Tamandua tetradactyla: one gene and its partner. Each later gene encodes a partner of the first gene's protein in a complex. Links are inferred from orthologs where the notes say so. Each region holds a gene or a part of one and is shown on either strand. Other genes may lie near its edges.

Region 1 (10,930 bases):
CATCTGAAACAAAGACAAAAGCAAATCAAATTATTTTAAAGACATTCAAGGAATATTTTTAATTACTAACGAAAAAAAGTATTTTTGTTTTTAAATCCAAGAAAATTTACAAGAAAGGACTTGATCATAAAGGTAATTATATATAATTTCTTTAACATAATTAGAAGACACTATATAAAGTGGATAGAGAATGGCATGGTGTTAACAGCACCAATAAAAGTTATAATGAGGGTGGGCCACGGTGGGTCAGCAGGCAGAGTTCTTGCCTGCCATGCCAGAGACCCAGGTTCGATTCCTGGTGCCTGCCCATACAAAAAAAAAAAAAGGTTATAGTGAAAGCTATGCCTACCTTTGGCAAGCCTAAGGTCATCTTTTAGTTAAGACCTCTTATTTAAATTCCAGTTTCCAATTTCCAAGAGCCTAAAGGATTTTTTTTACTAAAATCTCCTATGATCATTTCAAATTCAGTATATCTAAAATTAAATCATACTGTAAAATGAAAAAGCATTTTGTAAAAATTAGACACATGCATATGCTTGTGCACATACAGAAAAGCTCTGGAAGGATAACAGTTGAAGGGGGAAGGGAGCCGCAGTACAGGGGAAGGGAAAAGAAGAGACAGGAAACTTTCTAACTTCAACAACTTCTGCAGTCTGAATTTTTCTACAAGTATCGGTTACTTCTATGATGTATGAAATGGAAAATTAAAAAAAAAATTAATACTCATTCTTTCTTTAACTGACGAAGATACTAATTTTAACTCTTCCACCTCTATTAAAGGTATTATTCTCTCAGTCTAAAAAATACGATCATCTTGAATTCTTCCCTATCCTTTACAATCTCAAGCCAAGAACTCTGGTACTTTTTTTTCTCCTTTTTGGTCAAAGATTTCATTTTTTTTTTCTTTCTCTCCATTCCTACTATCATCCCTCAATATGGTTTTAAGTTCTCTTAGAATACCACTTTTATTACATTGTTCTCGCTATTTAGGAATATGCCCTTTTTCCTATCACCTACCATATACCACATACCAAACCATATGTTTCAATTCTTCTGCATAGCTTTAAATATCTCTACACCCTAACTTCACTCTGCTTAACCTTTTCTTTTATTGCCCTTTAAATGAACTTGCTTCATCTGTGAAGCTCGTCACCAAGCTGGTCACCTAACTGGAAGTTTTATCATGCTTCCTCTCACGTTTTACTTCTTCATTTGTATTATTCTCTAACTTGGAATGCTCTCCACCTTTTACAAACATATTTCATAGTCTATCTCAAATCTCATCTTTTCTGTAAGGTCATTTTACCCCAATTCATAATCCACAACCATCTCTCCTTTACCTTATCCCCTTTGCATTTACTGCCCATATCATGGAATTATTAAGTTATGGTCCTTGTCTTGAAGAGTCACCCTGAAAGGTTTAACATCTGCTTTCAGTGCATGCACACTTATTTAATTCATAATACAACACACTGAGAAACATTTGCCCTGAATGCTTTGAGAAATCATTATCTTACAGAAACTTAAAAATTTTATTATTTGTTTAATTAATAATCACTTGTGATACTTGCTTTAACTTGAGAAAAAAAAATTTTAAAGGAACAAATACCATCAGATTTGTTGACAATTTGGCACTCCTGTACACACCCTTTGAGCAGGGGTTGTGTTTCAATAACTCTAATGTCTCTAACACCTAGCAGAGGACTTAGCACATAAGTGGTGTTCAATGAATGTTTGTTAAAAAGCCAAAAAGAATTTAAAGGCGTATTTAAAGGCGTAATATAAAGTTGCATAATGGCAACCTAAGTTTATAGCATGCGATTTTAAAGTAAAGATAGTTTAGAAAAAAAGAATTTTAAAAATGTCTGTAATTAATAAGCATAATCAGGATATCCAGGAAACAGAATTTTAAAAACTCGCCAAACCATGATGGGGAATAATGAACATGATAATTGCATTCCGACTAAAATAAAGAAAACTGACTATAGAAATTGGGTAATTAGGAAAGACAGTTATATTAATCACAGCAATCATCACTTGATGACTTTGGCCAACCTAGATACATAAAGTACCAGCATATTTCCTGGTTCTGCCTATAAGACAGGAAGGTAACTATGTTTCAGGGGATATTTGATTAGAGGTGCAGAACATATGTCCTTATTAAGGGAACTTGGTAGCAAGAACGCAACCTGGACTATGCATAATGGGTAACACTATACTCAAGGACCATGAAAGAGGAGTAGATGAGAGGGAAGCAAAAGCCAGGAGAGTATTATGCTGGTGGTTACTTCCAAGATAGCACAGAATGAGAGTCACTTCGCAGTTCCAAAATCAGGTTAGCAGTATTTGTGAAATCAAGCATTCAAAAAAATACACATTTTTGAACTCAGAAAGTAAAGTCAATAGTTATTACGGTAGTAGGCTATCATTCATACTAGATTACGAACCTAGTAGCCCTATTATATTATGGTACCACACCAGGTTACCGAACATATATATATGTAAGAGTTCCACAGTATCCTGGAGAGAGGAAAGGAGAAGGGACTGGAGAGAGACATATTCAGATGATTAGAAAACAAGGTGTTAAATAACATAACAGAACTATACAAAGAATTATGCAAGCAGGTAACATGAGTTTCCTAGAGCAAGTGATTGGTGATCTCAAATCATACATAGTACTACTGATGGACCAGGGGGCCAAGGACACTCTAAGAAACAGCATGCACATAGGAATGCATAGTTTCAACTGTTTTGGAAATGTCAGTTAGCTCGGCATGGTGGCAGAATGGGATTGCGATGATTGGATAGCAGAAAATTAAAATGCTAGCTCACGAAGAGAATTGTGTGCTATACAAGAATGTAGATTTTTTTTTGCCTGTAGCCAATGAACGACAACTGAAGGATTTTAAGAACGACACATTTAGATTCGTATTATGGATAGATTATTTTGCAGTACTATTGAAGCTGGAACAGAATTTGGGGCCCAAGAAACAAAACATATCCGTGGGTCTCAATTTTTCATTCTAGGAACCACTTTAACAAAATAATATATTCTATGAAACACCCAGTTTTCCAGTTTAACACCATAACAATCATGTTCCAAAATTTAAATGAGTGGAGTGTTCCTCTCACCCCCACCATACACACATTTCACATCAATCAGAGGATAGGATATTTCTATTAAATATTCCACATTATTAAAGACTACCATATATAGATACTAGCAGATAGTCACTTAAAGCTATAAATACTGTAGCTCAGTTTACTTGGTAAACTGCCTATGATCCCTATATCAGCCTTTGATAACCACTGATACGTATAAATGGTGAAAATCAATGGTGATGTAAGTGAAATTTCATCTAATCAGTGAAAGTGACAAAATTGATCCTGGGACATAAAGAGCCGAGATGCTGTCTATGAACTAAATAGATACAGAAAGAAGCATCAGTGTTCCTAACGGAGCAGAGCTGTCAAAGAGATGTATTATGATAAAGAATGGCTAGTCTTGTATAAAACGACCGGTAGACGGAGCGCCAGTGACAACTAGTTGTAGTAGTTTGCGGGCAAGGGAGGAAAGGGACCAAGGTAAAAAAGGGGTGTAAGTCATTCTGGAGAGGCTCCTACATGCACCAAAAACGAGACAATGAGAAACTCTGATACACACTGCAGAGTAGAGAAGGGATGAGAGGGTATGGAGCTGGGAGTGGAGACAGGGCTCCAAAGCTGGTGGCGGGAAGTTAGCGGATGAGGAAGCGGTACTAAAGGGATAACTGGAGTTTGAAGGAGGAGTGGAAGCGACGGAGCGTAGGAGGCCAGATTTCAGGATAGTGGAAAAGAACTAAAAACTCCGAGACGCTGAGGGAGGGAAGGACAGACTGAAGGTGTCACTCGTGACTCGCCGGAGCTAACCCTCCCGCACCCAGCCCGGTACTCACAGAGCTCAGAGTACCGGTGGCAGCCCCGTCCCAACTGCTGCAGATAACGTTGTAGCACGTCCGTGAGGAGGTGGCAGGCGCTGAGTTGCACCGAGTCCCAGCCCAGCGCCTGGCAGATCTGCGCCACCGAGACCCTCAACAACGACCTGGAGTAACTCTCGCACATCCCGCTCCGCTGAATCCACCGCAGCTTTTGCTGCCACTTCTCTCCACCAGCGCCGCCTAACCTTAGCAGAGGCCTCGATTCATCCTCCAGGGTCCCCGCGGCGGGGAAATTGTGCCCCCCCGGCCCCTGGCGACCTCCTCAAAGCCTCAGCGACACGGAGCGCGCCAGCCTGAGAGTCGCCATTTTGGACTCGCTCCGCCTCTCGCTGGACTGTCGCCGGGGCGAGGCAGCAGTAAGCGAGCACTGAGAGAGTCGATGAGAAAGCGCTCCTCCCCATTCGCGCAGGCCAATCGAATGGGGCTCGACTCTCAGACCTAGAACCTTGAAGGAAAAGGCTGCAAGTAGGGTGCGCTCCGGAGAAGTCAGACAACTGAGGTATTCTCAGTGGGACCCTCACGCTGTAAAGAAGGGAGAGTGAAGCCAAAGTATCTTAGAGTCAGAAGAGGAAGCTGGGACCTGAAATTGAGATGGAGGTATCAAAGAGAAGTGGGATTCCCAGATGCTTTGAGCACAGGGGCCTGGTTGGGGGGATGGGAACTTAAATTGTTAACTAAAACGCGGATCTCATCCTGTCTTCTGCTAAAAAAATTGAGCTGCTTATGGTTGTATAGATTCAGTAAGTCCACGCTGTTCAATATGGCATTCAAAGCTGCAGGGTCGGGCCTAGGGTCAGGTCAGGGAAGCAGTTACTGTGGTGCAAGATTTGCTAAGGGGGCACGAAAATCTCAATAATAAAGATAAATATTTTCTTAATTTTTTAAAATCAAAATTAAAGCTAAAAAATCCATGAACAAAATGCCAACATCTTAAAAACAAGAACCGAGCCTGCACTTCCAGGGTCCTGCCTTACTCACCTCAACTTTAATCCAGGCTCTCGTTCTAATGAAACTTTATTTACAATACCGGGCAGCCCGCCGGTGGGCCATAATTTGCCATTTGTCTATCTCCAGCCATGTGATCTATTAAGGGAATGGGGAACTCAGTTGCTTATCAGAGGCCAAACAAGGAACTTAAGTGAATTAAGCAGGCTGAGTGTATGGAAGTGTCACCTACCCCAGAGTGTTTTCCCAGCTCCAGCAAAGTGTTGCCAGATCTTTCCAAGTTGCCAAAATTTTCAATTTTTATTGATAATACATTTTCAGAATTTTAGCTTGCAAGCCAAACTAGATTCACCCTGGGTAAATTGTAATGGCTAATGTACTTAGTTTCTTAAATATATTCTTATGTGCCCCGCCCCCTCCCTGTCCATCCTCTCAAGCTTTGGAGTGTTCCCTACTTCCTTATACTTATCACCCTTCATTTAGTATTTGAGTTTATTGCTTCCCTTAATAAATTGTAACTTTGAGAGACCCTATTCTTCCTACAAGTACTATTCAAGAGCTTTGAACATAATAGCTATTCATTTTTTTTTAAGTCTTAAATACCCAGTAGAAGTGAATATCTGCTACTTCAGCTCAAGAACAATCCGCAGAGAAGGAACAAGGGACCATTTTACTGCTCAATCTATAGGACACTTTTCAGTCCTACCCTTATTTGATCATTTTGTAGCCATTTGACAATGTTGAACACTGCATTAACTTTGAAACTCTCTTGTACCTTGGATTTCACAACACCCCACTTTCTTGGTGGTGTTCTTTCAATACTTCTGGAGGCTCTTTTTAAATCTCTATAATGGCACCACTTTATTTGCCTGTTGTTTGTTTTGTTTTGTTTTAACCCCTCAGTTATTTTATTTTGGAAAATATCAAACCCACAGAAAAGTTGAATAGGAAGTATAAACACAGGTATAAACTTCACTTAGACTCACCAGTTGTTAACAGTTTTGCTACATTTACTATATACACACAGATATATATGCAAACACATTTTCTTTCCAAAATGGTTTGAAAATAAATTGTAAAACCTCATGATACATGCTACTACCCTTCATTGAGCATTTCCTTCATTGTGACACAAGATTTTCCAGGTTCATACTTGTACTTTCCCTGCCCTAGACTTGGAATTAGCCATTTCTCCAAGGGTCCTAATTCTTCTTAGTGAGGATTGGTATTTAGAAAACAAGATATGAGTGGTAGTTCATCTTTGTTACTACAGGGGTATCAGTACTTCAGGGCCCTTTTAGTAGACAGAACTAGGGGGGAAATATAAATATATATATATATGAGTCATAAGTACATACTCGTGCCTCTGATTCAAGTCTGAAACTACATATTCTTTACCTTCTCCCATTACTTATGTGTACCTCCCTTCTCCCAGAGAACCTTGGTTTTTTTTGTTTTTTTTTTAACATGGGCAGGCACCGGGAATCGCACCGGGAATGCCCAGGCAAGCACTCTTACCTGCTGAGCCACCGTGGCCCGCCCAAGCCTTGGTTTTTAACAATATCAAATATTTGCTTTATCCTTTGCCTAATTTGTAAGTATTTGTTCTCTTTTCATACGATTCACCCCAATGGTTGAATGAATAGTTATGTAAAGATGACTCCAAATGTAACATTTTAGCCCAGATTTTTCCTTCACTTTATGCTAGTGTAACTTATTGCCTCTAGCAACTAACAACTGCTTGGATGAGTCCTATACAACTCAAATTTAATTCATGTGTGATGGATGTACAAAACTAAACTCATCAATCTATATATCCTTTGTCTCAGAGATTCACATCATCTACCAAGATGCCCAAGAGAGCTACTTAGGACTAAGTCACAAGTTGCTCTGTGTCCCAGCCCTCACAAAGCCTTCTCTATTCTAGGTTATTCATTTCACTCAAATTTGGACATTTCTTTCTATCTCTATGTACTGCCTAAAGACAGGCCTTCATCCTTTCTCATCTTCCTGCCTTTACCAACAAGCCATTTTCTCAACTGATGTCAGAGAAATAGTTCTAGACCGTCAATCTGATTGCAGTGTGTTACTCCTTTTAAAAGATTCCAGCAGGTCTCCATAGCCTTCACAGTTGTTAGGCTGCCATTGCTCCTTAAAGCCTATACCTCTCATAACTGCCTCCTTATATCCACTCACCAGCCAAAGCAAACTACTTTTTCACCTTTGGGTCTTTGCCTGCTTTCTTTTTGAAATATTCTTTTTATTGTTTTGTTTTGTAAAAAATCCTTTGGGAAGGATGTTGATTTGCAGGTGGCTAATATGACATACTCACTTCCCATTCTATACAAAGCACTCTACTGTATGCGGCTGGGATAAGAGAATAAAATGCCTGAAGACTGCCATCAAGTTGCTTACAATTTAGTGGGAGGAATTAAGATAGAAATGAAGTTAGAGAGGTAAAAGAAAAAAAAAATAGCAAGTGCTGTAAGAAAAGCACAGATGTAATGCTCAGACCTTTAGGAATGTGATAGGCAGAATAATGGCCCCTCATGATGCCCATTCTTAATCTTTGGAACATGTGGATACGCTGTGTTACTTGGAAGGGGAAATTAAGGTTGCAGATGGAAATCAAGGTTGCTAACCAGCTGATTATAAGATAGATGAGTCAGAACCAGGAAGATGGCCTGAGAAAGACTCGGCCAGCCACTGCTGACTTTCAAAAAGGAAGGGGATAAGTGAAGGGTTGTGGGCAGCTTCTAGAAACTGAAAAAGGCAAGAAAACAGATTCTCCCCTAGAACCACCAGAAAGGACCACAGCTTGACTTTGATCTAGGTTGAATGAGACACATTTGCATTGTTTGAAGTCATTAAGTTTGTGGTAACTTGTTACAGTAGTAATAAGAAAATAATACAAGGAGAAGGCAGTTATTCCCAGTCAAGTGTTAGAGGGACTGACTTCCAGTGGGTCATTTCATTTAGGCTTTGGGAAGTGGTAAGGTTTGAATAGCCAGAATGGTGACCAGACAGAAGGGACAGCCCAGGGGGAGGAGATAGTAAAAATATGGAGACAGGAAATCAAGAGACATTTATAGAGAACAGAAGTAGGAAATCAAGGACATTTACAGATAATAGCATAGTTCAGACTGGCCAGATAATATACCACATGAAAGAAAATGTTTGAAGTTAGAGAAGAGTTCATTCTGGAAAGCCTTCAATGCCAGGCAAAGGAATCGATCCTGTGCCTAACAATAATGAAGGTTTTTTGAACAGAAGAGGTGACATCTTATGCTTTATCACACTACTGTAATTATCATTTTGACTTGTCTTCTCCTTTAAGCTGTACACACAGAGCAAGAACTGTGTCCTTGTCATTCACTGCTAAGTCCCCAGTATATAGCATGGCACCTGGCATGGAGTTAGTGCTCAATAAAGAAAAAGCTTTTAGAGTTTATCAATAGTGTGGAAAATGGGTTACAGCACAAATCTGAATATACCAAAAACCACTGAACTGTACATTGAAAAGGATGAATTGTCTGGTACATAAATTGTATCTCATCAAAGCTGTTATTAAAGAATGGATTAGAGGTGAGTAGAAGAAAACAAGAGCCTCTTAAAAGAGCTGCAGCAGTTGGAATGGAGAGCAGTTGCTTTCCCTATGAACACTGAGTGGCAAATTGTCTGTACACAACTTTGGAGGACACAAGATTTATTGACTTAGCTTTCTTATGAGAGCTGAGCTCTGACCAGCTCTGAGAGTTCAGATCCTCAGCCTTCTATCCTGGTGAATAATGAACCTAGAGCAATATGGAAAAGCTGTGGACAGAGTGAAGAGATCGGTGCCAACAATGGGTTTATAGCCGAGAACTAGTGAAACCCAACTTCAGCCATGTTATCGTTTTATTCAGTTGGTACTGACAGGAGCTCATTAACTTGCAGTTTTCAAGCTTAGGGTTCCAATCTTAATAAAGTTTCTGAAAGTTGCAAATATTAAAGCAGTAAGGGAAACAAAGGTTCACAAAAGGCAAATTCTTAGAAAACAGGAGTTGCAATAATGACAACTCAATCCTAGAATACTAATAGATCTCATTCACTGAGGACAGTCTAGATGGTTTCAGAAAAAAGAATAGCAGTTTGTTTTAAATTATGTAATGAATCTATAAACTTTATCATTGTAATCACTCTGTTTTTTGATATTTAATAAATGGATGGATTATAACTAGGAGGGAAATTTTCAATTTTGTTCTTCAAGACTCCTTTCTGCATGTCTAAACTACACATGTATGTTCATAATCTTGCCCCAGCTAACATTTCTAGACTAATCTTTTCTTTCATCTTCTCTTGCATTAACAGTTCTCAGAATGTGTTTTGAGGATTTTGATTCTGGACTTTGCCACTTTGGCTCCCTGGCCTGAAACGAAACGCCTTCCCACCGCCACCAGCTTTCCCCAGTAGTTTAATTTCTACTGTTGTCTCCAGGCAGGACAGCCTTCTCAGTCTCATCTTCCCTAGACCTGGTCGAGTGTCCCTCCTATATGTTCACCAATGACAACATTTATCCATTTTGTCATTATTTGCTTGTTTTCTCCCCAGACTGTAAGCTCCTTTAGGGAAGTGTTTTAATTATCACTGTATCTTCAAAGCGCAAGTATCAATACATAGAGAATCATCAATATATACATTGAATTGATGATTACTTTTACATAGATCAGGCATTTAACCACATACATAGCACTTGCCATGTGTCAGAAACTGTTTTTAAGCACTTTGAAAATATCCTTTCATATACTCCTTATATCAATTCCATGAGGTAGGTACTAGTTTAATCTCCATCTTAACAATAAAAGGTACTGAAGATTATGAAACTTGCCTAAGGTCACACAGCTGGAAAGGGCTATGCTGGGATTCCAACCCAGTCTGCTTCAAAACCCCTGCTCTATGCATACAAAACTATCTTCACTTAAGTGTTGTTGGTAAAGCAAATTAATAAATTTTTACTCGGTTTTATTTCTCAAGACCCTATGCTGGGTCTATAAGAAAGTTGTCAGAGAAATGGAAAATTTCTTTTAAAAAATTCCCATATTGGATACTGCATTCCTTCAAATATAGCTAATCAGATGGCATTTAAAATTAGAGTGAAACAATGATAGTGCATTCTTATCCATCAGTGGCTAAATAAGCTTTCCTAATTACAACACAAGTGATAGAGTTGATATCACTAATATACAAAGAACTGTTATGAGAAATGAGTGAACAAGCAATTAGATATTGTTTATTAACCACCATTAACCATCATTAAGGATATACAAAACTTCAGAGTAGGAAGGATCACTCTTATTTGTTGGTGCAAGTTTATAATCTTTTTTAGAGGAATTTGGCAGTGTCTACTTAAATTTTATACATACAAGCGTGCAAACACTTGCCCAAGGATATCTACTCCACACTTCTATAGAAGCTATAAATTGGAAACCTGTATGTCTATCAAAAGATAGCACTTTATTTATCAATATGGAATGTCCAAGTTAGAGCTAAATGCATGTTATCCCTTTCTTGCAAAAACTTTCTTCTGGACTTTCATTTAAAGATGGCAAATTAAACTCACAAATACCCTATTTCATTCTTCTCATACTCCACTAAAACTTCAGTATAGAGATTTTGTTAAAAAAGGCATACATTGGGCGGTGCAATGGTGGCTCAGCCTTCTGCATCTCCTGCTCTCTGCCTGCTATGCCGGAGAACTGGGTTCAATTCCCAGTGCCTGCCTATGCATAAAAAGAAAAAGAAAAAAAAGAAAAGGCATACATTCACCATTCACCAGGACACGAAGAGCTGAAAAGGAGATAAGAAACACACAAGCAACATAAGTTTGGAGGTTGGATCCTTGGATCCTTTACTCCACTATGTGGTACCCTTGAGGGACAACGCCTCCCCAATAGGCACTAGCCCAAAGGTTTATTCTTTGGAGAGAATAGAAGAGGGTTTCTGGACTGAGGGGTATCAGGACCTTGACG
Region 2 (10,114 bases), on another chromosome or scaffold:
TTTTGGGCGAGATCCCCCTCCTTGGCCATCTCTTCCGGATCTCGTGGCGCATCTGGGGCGTGACTCACTGCGCAGCGCAAAGCAGCAGGGAGGGAAATAGTGCTTCCAGTCGCTCCGCGCGCCTTCCGCGTCTCTTGTTGGTTGTTCCCGGACGACCAAGGTGCGCTGAAAAGAAAAGGCAGACCATCCTGTGGGGTCATTAAACATCCTGACGTTCCTGATCCAAATATCTGGAACAGATTGCGGGAGAGAGAGCTTGCGGGCTCCTCTCGATGTGTTTCTTAAAAAAGATCTGGGGGATCGCGGCGGCTGACTGTCTAGTGGGTGGCTTTGCTTCATCCTAGCCACCGATTGGCCGACAGCGGCACCCAGAGGCCCTACGTGATATCTATCGCGGGTTATTTCTGACTGTTCTCATTAGAGATTCTATTTGCTTTATTGATGGAACTTCTTGTTCCATTCAGGTGCCCATCCCCCATTGACCTAAGAGGAATATGGGATTCTGATAAATCTAAGTCAATAATGGTCTAATCTCTTCTTGGCAGTGCACGGTTTAGGAATATAGGCTTAAAATAATTCGTTTATGGCAGGGTTTCTCGACCTTGCTACTACTGACATTTTTAGGCACATAACTCTCTCTTTTAGAGGCCTGTGCTGTGCAGTATATGATGTTTAGCAATATTTCTGCCCTCTACCCACTAGATGCCAGTAGTAACCCTCTCCACTCCAGGTGTAACAACCAAAAGGGTCTTCAAACATCACCAGGTATCCCCACCCCCCTCCCACCTGGGTTGAGAATCATAGGCTTAGGGTATTCTTCTAGTTACTTATTGTTTAGGGATGGGTACATGACCTAAATCCATTTGGATTAAAGAAAGACTTTCGTTGGGGGATGGGCAAGGGAGGACCGTGGCCAGGTTTTGAAAATTCACAGGCTGAGGAAGGCAGTGCTGGGAGAAAAAAAAAGCAGAAATAAATATTCATTCTTTAAAACTAGGAAGTGAAAACCAAATTGTGTCAGGCCATGATTATATCGTCTCATACCTCTAGATCTCTGTGGTCCAGTACAGAAGCCACCAGCCACGTGTGGCCATTGAGCCCTTGAAATGTGCCCATTCCAAAGTGAGATGTGTTGTAAGTGTAAATACACACCAGATTTTGAAGGGTTACTACACAATAAGAATGTAAGTATTTCTAACAATTTGTATATCAATCACATATTGAAATTACAATATTATATATATTGGTCTAAATACAACATATTATTTAAGTTAATTTCTACTTGTTTCTTTTTGCCATTTAAGATCACATTTGTGGCTCATATCTGTGGCTTACATTGTATTTCTATTGGACAGTGATGCTCAAGGTTTGTGATAATGATTTTCTTATTTCTTAAATTAGTATACATTAGTTGCTTTTTCTCATAAAAGGCTTCCTACTTGACAAAAATATGTTGTACATATTTTTAGGTAATTTGCATTATGCCTGAAAAATACATGGTGATATAGGGTGCACAGGTGGTTCAGTAGTAGAATGCTCGCCTTTCATGTGGGAAACCCGGGTTAGACTCCTGGACCATGCCTCCCCCCCAAAACATATTGTGATATAATAGTAAATAAGCTTCCTTTACTGGATATTTGCTATTTCCTCACTCCTATAAATTTCTAATTCCAAAATATAAACAGAACTTATCTCATCACCCACAATTTTTTAATCTCCAAAGTATTAGCAGCCCTTTAAGGAAAGTGAAAGTTTACTACAGGAAACTTTCAAGAATACAGTATTAGCAGTAGCCTAATTATTGTCTTCCCTTATTATAGGTAGGAAGTCTTTGAAGGACTTGTTACCACTCTGGAAAATTTATTGCCTTCCCTAAATATTTGGTTCACTGGTATCACAGATATTCCATAAACAAGTACAGGGGGGTAATTGATCGGCTCAGAGTCTGTGTTTTTCTGTATGTTTAATGGATTTGAAAAAACGAACGAACCTGGATTTCTTAATAGATACTAAGGTGATGGTGATATGGCAGAGATCTTAACTTCAAGGTCAGTATAATCCCTCCCCACCCCATTTAATAGCCTTTAGAACACATGCTAAACTCAAAAGCCAATAATATGTTTCAGGATTAAATGAGTTAGATGCCTCAGGGAAACCTCAGTTAATCCCTTTGGTTAATTCAAACTGTCTTCCAGTTTAAGGTTTACTAACGAAAATACATCATAATTTGAGCAAATCAGTATTTAATAGAATTAATCTCAGGCTACTTTCTGTGACAAGGGCATTTGAATATCCCCAAACTTGGGGAATTAAAACATAAAATAATATTTAGATTATTTTCATTCATAAGCATTATTTATATTTTATATATAAATATATATATATATATAATTGCAGAGGCTAGAATGTTTACTCTTCTATCTGTAAAATAAGTAAAATCAGGTATAATTGAGGAACAAGCACATTGAAAAAATTTCCTCTTCAACAGACAGAAAATAGATCATCATGGAAATAATAAATGAATCAAATAGCATCCTTCAATACAAAGAGAAGGATGCCCTTCTGGAAGGGCATACTTTCTTCTTAAAGATTAACATAAAACTAAATTAATCCTAGGTCATTTTAATTTCTTCCTATAATACAATATCACAATCTACCTAAAACCAAGAGGACACATTCACATACACTATGATTAATCTCCCCTGCCCCATAACAATTGGCACTACCCTCAACTAGAGAAGAAATTATTATCTATGTATTAGAGACATAGATGAAGTGACTCTATCTCATTTTAAGGTGACAGAGAAAGTATTCTCTCTCATAAATTATGACAGGAGTTAGCCTATATTTGTGTTCTTTCTACATAGATCAATTTTCCATCCAATTAGCAAACTTTTCTTGTGTTTCTCCTATGTTGTGGTAGTAGGCACATGATGAATAAAATAGAAATGCTCCCTGACCATCACGGAGCTTTCAATCTGGGGTGAGGAAAACAATTAACAAGTGCATAAATAAAGCAATTTTGGGAATATTAATCAGACAAGATATTCTCTTAAATTCATGTGTAATTGTTAATATTTGAGAGGATAGCAATTAGATTCTAAACGACTTTGATGCTCTACCAAACTGATCCTATTTGAAAAAAATGGAAATGAGTAGGAATAAGTGGAAACCCTTATCTATTACTTGGCAACAATATAAATAGGTGTTGATGCACACCAGACAACCCATACGTGAAACAAACAGAAAATAGCCAGCAAAACAGTAGTGCCATAGTGAAAAAAATTCAGCATGTGTGTTGGTTTGAAAGGATTATGTACCCTAGAAAAGCCATGTTTTAATCCTAATCACTCTTGTGAGAGAAATGTTTTCTTCTAATCTCTAGGTTGGAAATTTGATTAGTTTATTTCCACAGAGATGTGATTCACCCAATTGTGGTGATTAAACTTGATTAGATGAAGAGGTGTCTCCACCCATCCTACATGGGACTTGATTAGTTTACTGGAATCGTATAAAAGAAGAGACATTTCAGAGAGAGTTCCCTTTTTTGAGAACGAGGAGAGGAGCGCAGAGTCAGACACAAGGACGAGAGAACCACAGAGTCCACCAGCCAGGGACCTTTGGAGATGAAGGAACACTCCTCCCCAGGAGCTTCATGAAGCAAAAGTCCTGGAGAGAAAGCTAGCAGACGCTGCCGTGTTTGCCATGTGCCCTTTCAGCTGAGAAAGAAACGCGCTGAACGTCATCAGCCTTCTCCAACGAAGGTATCTTTCCCTGGATGCTTAGATTGGACCCTTCTATAGACTTGTTTTAATTTCGACAATTTCACAGCCTTAGAACTGTAAGCTAGCAAGTTATTAAATTCCCCTTCTTAAAAGCCATTCCGGACCCAGCAATACCATTGCTAGGTATCTACTCAAAGGACTTAAGGGCAAAGACACAAACGGACATTTGCACACCAATGTTTATAGCAGCATTATTTACAATTGCAAAGAGATGGAAACAGCCAAAATCTCCATCAACAGAAGAGTGGCTAAACAAACTGTGGTATATACATACGATGGAATATTATGCAGCTTTAAGACAAGATAAACTTATGAACCATGTAATAACATGGATGGACCTAGAGAATATTATGCTGAGTGAATCCAGCCAAAAACTAAAGGACAAATACTGTATGGTCCCACTGATGTGAACGGACATTCGAGAATAAACTTGAAATATGTCATTGGTAACAGAGTTCAGCAGGAGTTAGAAACAGGGTAAGACAATGGGTAATTGAAGCTGAAGGGATACAGACTGTGCAACAGGACTAGATACAAAAACTCAAAAATGGACAGCACAATAATACCTAATTGTAAAGTAATCATGTTAAAACACTGAATGAAGCTGCATCTGAGCTATAGGTTTTTGTCTTGTTTTGTTTTGTTTTGTTTTGATTTTACTATTATTACTTTTATTTTTTTCTCTATATTAACATTCTATATCTTTTTCGGTTATGTTGCTAGTTCTTCTAAACCAATGCAAATGTACTAAGAAATGATGATCATGCATCTATGTGATGATGTTAAGAATTAATGATTGCATGTGTAGAATGGTATGATCTCTAAATGTTGGGTTAATTTCTTTTTTTCCGTTAATTAAAAAAAAAAAAAGAGAAGGGATAATTGGAGATGAAGGGATACAGACTGTACAACGGGACTTGATATAAAAACTCAGAAATGGACAGCACAATACTACCCAATTGTAATGCAATTATGTTAAAACACTGAATGAGGCTGCATGGAGGTATAGGTTTTTTGTTTTTGTTTTTTTTGTTTTTTTTTCTTCCTATTATTGTTTCAATTCTTATTCTGTTGTCTTTTTATTTCTTTTTCTAAATCGATGCAAATGTACTAAGAAATGATGAATATGCAACTATGTGATGTTATTAAGAATTACTGATTGTACATGTAGATTGGAATGATTTCTAATTGTTTTGTTAATTCTTTTTTTAATTAATAAAAAAAAAATTTACTGAGGTATAAAAAAAAAAAAAAAAAAAAAAACAAGGAAAAATCAAAAAAAAAAAAAAAAAAAAAAAAAAAAACACTGAATGAAGCTGCATCTGAGCTATAGGTTTTTGTTTTGTTTTGTTTTGTTTTGATTTTACTATTATTACTTTTATTTTTTTCTCTATATTAACATTCTATATCTTTTTCGGTTATGTTGCTAGTTCTTCTAAACCAATGCAAATGTACTAAGAAATGATGATCATGCATCTATGTGATGATGTTAAGAATTAATGATTGCATGTGTAGAATGGTATGATCTCTAAATGTTGGGTTAATTTCTTTTTTTCCGTTAATTAAAAAAAAAAAAAGAGAAGGGATAATTGGAGATGAAGGGATACAGACTGTACAACGGGACTGGATATAAAAACTCAGAAATGGACAGCACAATACTACCCAGTTGTAATGCAATTATGTTAAAACACTGAATGAAGCTGCATGTGAGGTATAGGTTTTTTGTTTTTGTTTTTTTTTCTTTCTATTATTGTTTTAATTCTTATTCTGTTGTCTTTTTATTTCTTTTTCTAAATCGATGCAAATGTACTAAGAAATGATGAATATGCAACTATGTGATGTTATTAAGAATTACTGATTGTACATGTAGATTGGAATGATTTCTAATTGTTTTGTTAATTCTTTTTTTAATTAATAAAAAAAAAAAAAAAGCCATTCCGTTCTAGCATATTGCATTCCGGCAGCTAGCAAACCAGAACAGTTATAAATTCTTGTATTGGCTCCCAGACACACTTTGGGGAGCATCATATTCCTTGAAGCAGTGACACTTTGCACACTAACGCCCTTATCTCCGGTAATCATCCGGAAGCCTAGAGGCTATCCGGCTCCATGGAGATCCGATAAAAGTCCTGGCTTAGCAGGGTAGCTAGAGGTGGGGGGTAGGGGAAGTCTGTCTCTTAATCCGAACTGTTATTTCCGTGCGTTCTCAAACCAAAAGCTCTGTATGAAATATTTTACTTCTTACGGGGTTTACGGTCTACGTTGTCGCAAAAATTGGCCTTTCACGCCCAGCTGCGCAAACGCGCATGCGCGCGCCGGGCGGCTCTCATTTCCGGGCAGGGGGTCGTGTCGCTCAAGCCGCCTCCCGCCCCGCGCAGTGACGTAGCGCTTCTTTGTTCTCTAGGTCTGCAGCTCCGGACTGAGCGCTGCGGTATACTGAGCTGCGAATCTCGGCGACATTTCGCGTTGATAGCCCTGGTCCTTTCACTCGTAATTGGTAGCGGATCTTTGTGCCAACCGCTGAGAAGAACAGAGGCATCGAAAAGGAGACTCTGGGCCCCTGGCTGCCGTGCTTCGGGCCGAGTCCTCTTCCGCTCGCACCGGTCTGGAGAAGCCGAACTTGTAATCTTCAGTGGATTGTAAGTACCGGAGGCGAAGAAAGCTCACTGCGCCTCGCTTTTTAAAATATCTTTGTTCCGGGAGAGTTTGTGGATTGGGAATGTCTGTTGGGCATTACTTTCTGGGCCGAAAATAATTTCGCCGGAACCGCCATTTGCTTTGCTGCTTGCTAGCTGTTTGCATTGTCCGGCAGCGGCACCTAGAGGTTGAAACTTGGCATTGCAGCTAATAGATTTAAATGATCACAACTGCGAAAAAGCCAGTGTTTGTCAGTAACGACTGGTTCTCAGTCGCGTCATATTTAGAGAAAAGGCCTGGGACTTAATTCATAATTAAGTAAAAATAGATGCTTAGCTGCTGTTGTGTTTTAAACTTTGTAATGAAGAATTTCAGTTTGTAACAGTGGCTTTTCTAATTATTGCAGAAAGTAACTTGGAACTTGTTAGTGAAACAAGTTTTAGAGGAGAAGTGTCACAAGGAAGTAAAGATGAGTAAGAGCAAAGATGATGCTCCTCATGAGCTAGAGAGCCAGTTTATTCTACGCCTACCTCCGGAATATGCCTCTACTGTGAGGAGGGCAGTACAGTCTGGCCATGTCAACTTGAAAGACAGACTGACAATTGAGTTACATCCTGATGGGCGCCATGGAATTGTCAGAGTGGACCGGGTCCCACTGGCTTCAAAGTTGGTAGATCTGCCCTGCGTTATGGAAAGCTTGAAAACCATTGATAAAAAAACCTTTTACAAGACAGCTGATATCTGTCAGATGCTTGTGTCAACAGTGGATGGTGACCTCTACCCTCCAGTGGAAGAGCCAGTTGCCGCTGCTGATCCAAAAGCAAGCAAGAAAAAGGATAAGGACAAAGAGAAGAAGTTTATCTGGAACCATGGAATTACTCTGCCTCTAAAAAATGTCAGAAAGAGACGGTTCCGTAAGACAGCAAAGAAGAAGTACATTGAATCTCCAGATGTGGAAAAGGAAGTGAAGCGTTTGCTGAGTACAGATGCAGAAGCAGTCAGTACTCGTTGGGAAATCATTGCAGAAGATGAAACCAAAGAGGCAGAAAATCAGGGCCTTGATATCTCCTCTCCGGGAATGTCTGGCCATAGGCAGGGCCATGACTCATTAGAACACGATGAGCTTCGGGAGATATTTAATGACCTCAGCAGCAGCAGCGAAGATGAAGATGAGACGCATCATCCGGATGAAGAAGATATAAACATCATCGATACGGAGGAGGATCTGGAGAGACAGCTGCATGACAAGCTAAATGAATCAGATGAACAGCACCAAGAAAACGAGGGAACCAATCAGCTGGTTATGGGGATTCAGAAGCAGATTGATAACGTGAAGGGCAAGCTCCAAGAGACCCAGGACAGGGCAAAACGACAGGAGGATCTCATCATGAAGGTGGAAAACTTGGCGCTCAAGAACAGATTTCAGGCTGTGTTGGATGAACTCAAACAGAAGGAAGACCGAGAAAAGGAGCAGCTTAGCTCTTTGCAAGAAGAGCTAGAATCACTCCTAGAGAAGTGAGAAAACCTTTGATACTTAATTTTTTTTTTTTTTTTTTTTTTTTTTTTTTTTAAAGGAAAGACAGAGAGAAGGAAGGAAGGATAGAAGGAAGGAAGGAAGGAAGAAAGGGAAACATTTTTAAACATTTTCTTGTTTTATTGTATTCTGTTTCTCCGTTTTTGTTACATGGGCTGGGGCCGGGAATCGAACCGAGGTCCTCCGGCATAGCAGGCAAGCACTTTGCCCGCTGAGCCACCGCGGCCCGCCCTGATACTTAATTTTATTCCTCAGACAGGTCAGCCAAAAAGAAACACCTAGAATTGGATATTATGACCTTGTAGTAGTTCCTTTTCCCTCTTCTGTCTTCTGTTGAGTTTATCCTGTTTGTTTCTCAGAACCAGTTTGCTAGGTGTTTCTCTTCTAGGAAGTAGGCTTGTATAGGTAGAAAAATGATTTTAGGAAAGTTGTAGGATTGAACAGTTTAATGTTCATAATCACAGCTATACTGCAAGACTTTGCTGTTGTTACTCTGTTTGCCAGACACTATTGCTTTTTTGATGCCTTCTGAGATCAGTAAGAAAAGGCAGTGAAGCTAGTTTGCATTTTTTCCCCCATGCGTTAGCTATTTTCCCAGCTATTCAGAGCAGTTGTTTTCACATGTAGAAATGCAAATAATCTCATAAAATTGTTTCTAATACAGTTAATAAAAGCAATTATTTTTCACCTCATCTGTCTTGTTCTTCCATGGATGGTGGGAGTTGTGGGAGGTGATTTCTTGGTGGGGTTTAGTGACTGAGCAATTTGTTCCTTTTTTGCAGCTAAAAAAGCAGTTAAATTGGGGTTTTAAGAAAAAGACACTGCACGGGCCAAGAAATTGGGAAGTGTTATTTTTATATTAAATTTCCAAACCTCCTTTATTTGGAGGTTGGGAAACACTTGATACGGTAGCCTAAGCTACCTTAAATTGTGTAACACTTGATACAGTAGGCTAAGCTACCTTAAATTTTGTAAATGAAGATCTGTTAGTATCCTTTTTTTAAAGGACTAATGTCACCTGCTTAAGTGGCTAATGCAATGGATATCAAGTACAATTAAATGAATCATTCCACTGGTTTGGATTAAGGTTATGTTTCTAAATATTTTCAATTAACTTCTACAATTACTTAGTAATCAGAACTGAGGTATTTATTCATGTCAGCTCAACAGAATTGGTAATAAAGGAGTCAGTATCATAGTCTGATATTTCATAATTTCTTAAACATATTTAGAATTTTTATGTTCTCAAGTGATCCATGTTATGAAGATATCTAATGCTTCAAATGAGCTATTTTTGAAAAATAAGTTGTAGAATTTACAAAATGTAGAGTTGCAGGCAGTTCGTTTCTGACATTGTTTTATGGGAGAAAAAGTTTTGGTTTGAAAATGCTATTAGCCTCAGAAGTAAATATTTAAAGCACATTTTAATTTTGTATTTGACAGGAAACATCAGTTGTGAAACGTTAAAATCAGTTATTTAGACTTCAAATCAGTTATTCAGACACCAGGTCTTCAAATCGGATATTCTGATATTTGTGGACTTTTCACAAAACTGATTTTTCTCATTATCTGGTCATTACTTATTTGCTGAAACATTTTCACATTTTTAGGGTTTTCGTACAGAATGTGGAGGCTTAGACAGGGTTTCCCTCAATATATAGGCTTTGGACTCTGTCTTGAAGTTTGCAAATAATAAGAGCTAAGTTTTCTTAACATATTAGTGTTGTGGGTAACAAATTCTATTGTAGTATACCTGGGTATTCTGCTATGCTTAGAAGATTCATGCCTGAAAAACTCCCATGGTATTTTTTTATTTTATGGTGTTTTTATTTTTATTTTTATTTTTATTTTTTTTTTTTTAAACATTTTCTTGTTTTATTGTATTTTGTTTCTCCGTTTTCGTTACATGGGCTGGGGCCGGGAATCGAACCGAGGTCCTCCGGCATAGCAGGCAAGCACTTTGCCCGCTGAGCCACCGCGGCCCGCCTGGTGTTTTTATTTAATCAAAATAATTTTGTTCTTATCAAGACCTCAACACAGATGATGGCTGAGTTCCATCAATGGCAGAAAGGAAATGGCCTGACAAAATGGCCCAAAGATCTCATCTATTCCTGTTATTTCACTTATTAGCTTTTCAATCCCTATATCTAAGCTTGAT

The links.
Region 2: TAF3 (region 1) and TAF7 share a complex: the UniProt entries of both Homo sapiens proteins name them as parts of the TFIID basal transcription factor complex. The link is inferred for Tamandua tetradactyla from reciprocal best matches to the Homo sapiens genes TAF3 and TAF7.

Annotation. Positions count from the first base shown.
Region 1 is NC_135333.1:55,747,524-55,758,453, forward strand, and holds the start of TAF3 (transcription initiation factor TFIID subunit 3), read right to left. Parts: upstream 4,316-10,930; 5' UTR 4,102-4,315; coding exon 3,936-4,101; intron 4-3,935; coding exon 1-3. UniProt on the Homo sapiens protein: The TFIID basal transcription factor complex plays a major role in the initiation of RNA polymerase II (Pol II)-dependent transcription.
Region 2 is NC_135346.1:21,437,511-21,447,624, reverse strand, and holds TAF7 (transcription initiation factor TFIID subunit 7), read left to right. Parts: upstream 1-6,108; 5' UTR 6,109-6,424; intron 6,425-6,828; 5' UTR 6,829-6,891; coding exon 6,892-7,941; 3' UTR 7,942-7,964; downstream 7,965-10,114. UniProt on the Homo sapiens protein: The TFIID basal transcription factor complex plays a major role in the initiation of RNA polymerase II (Pol II)-dependent transcription.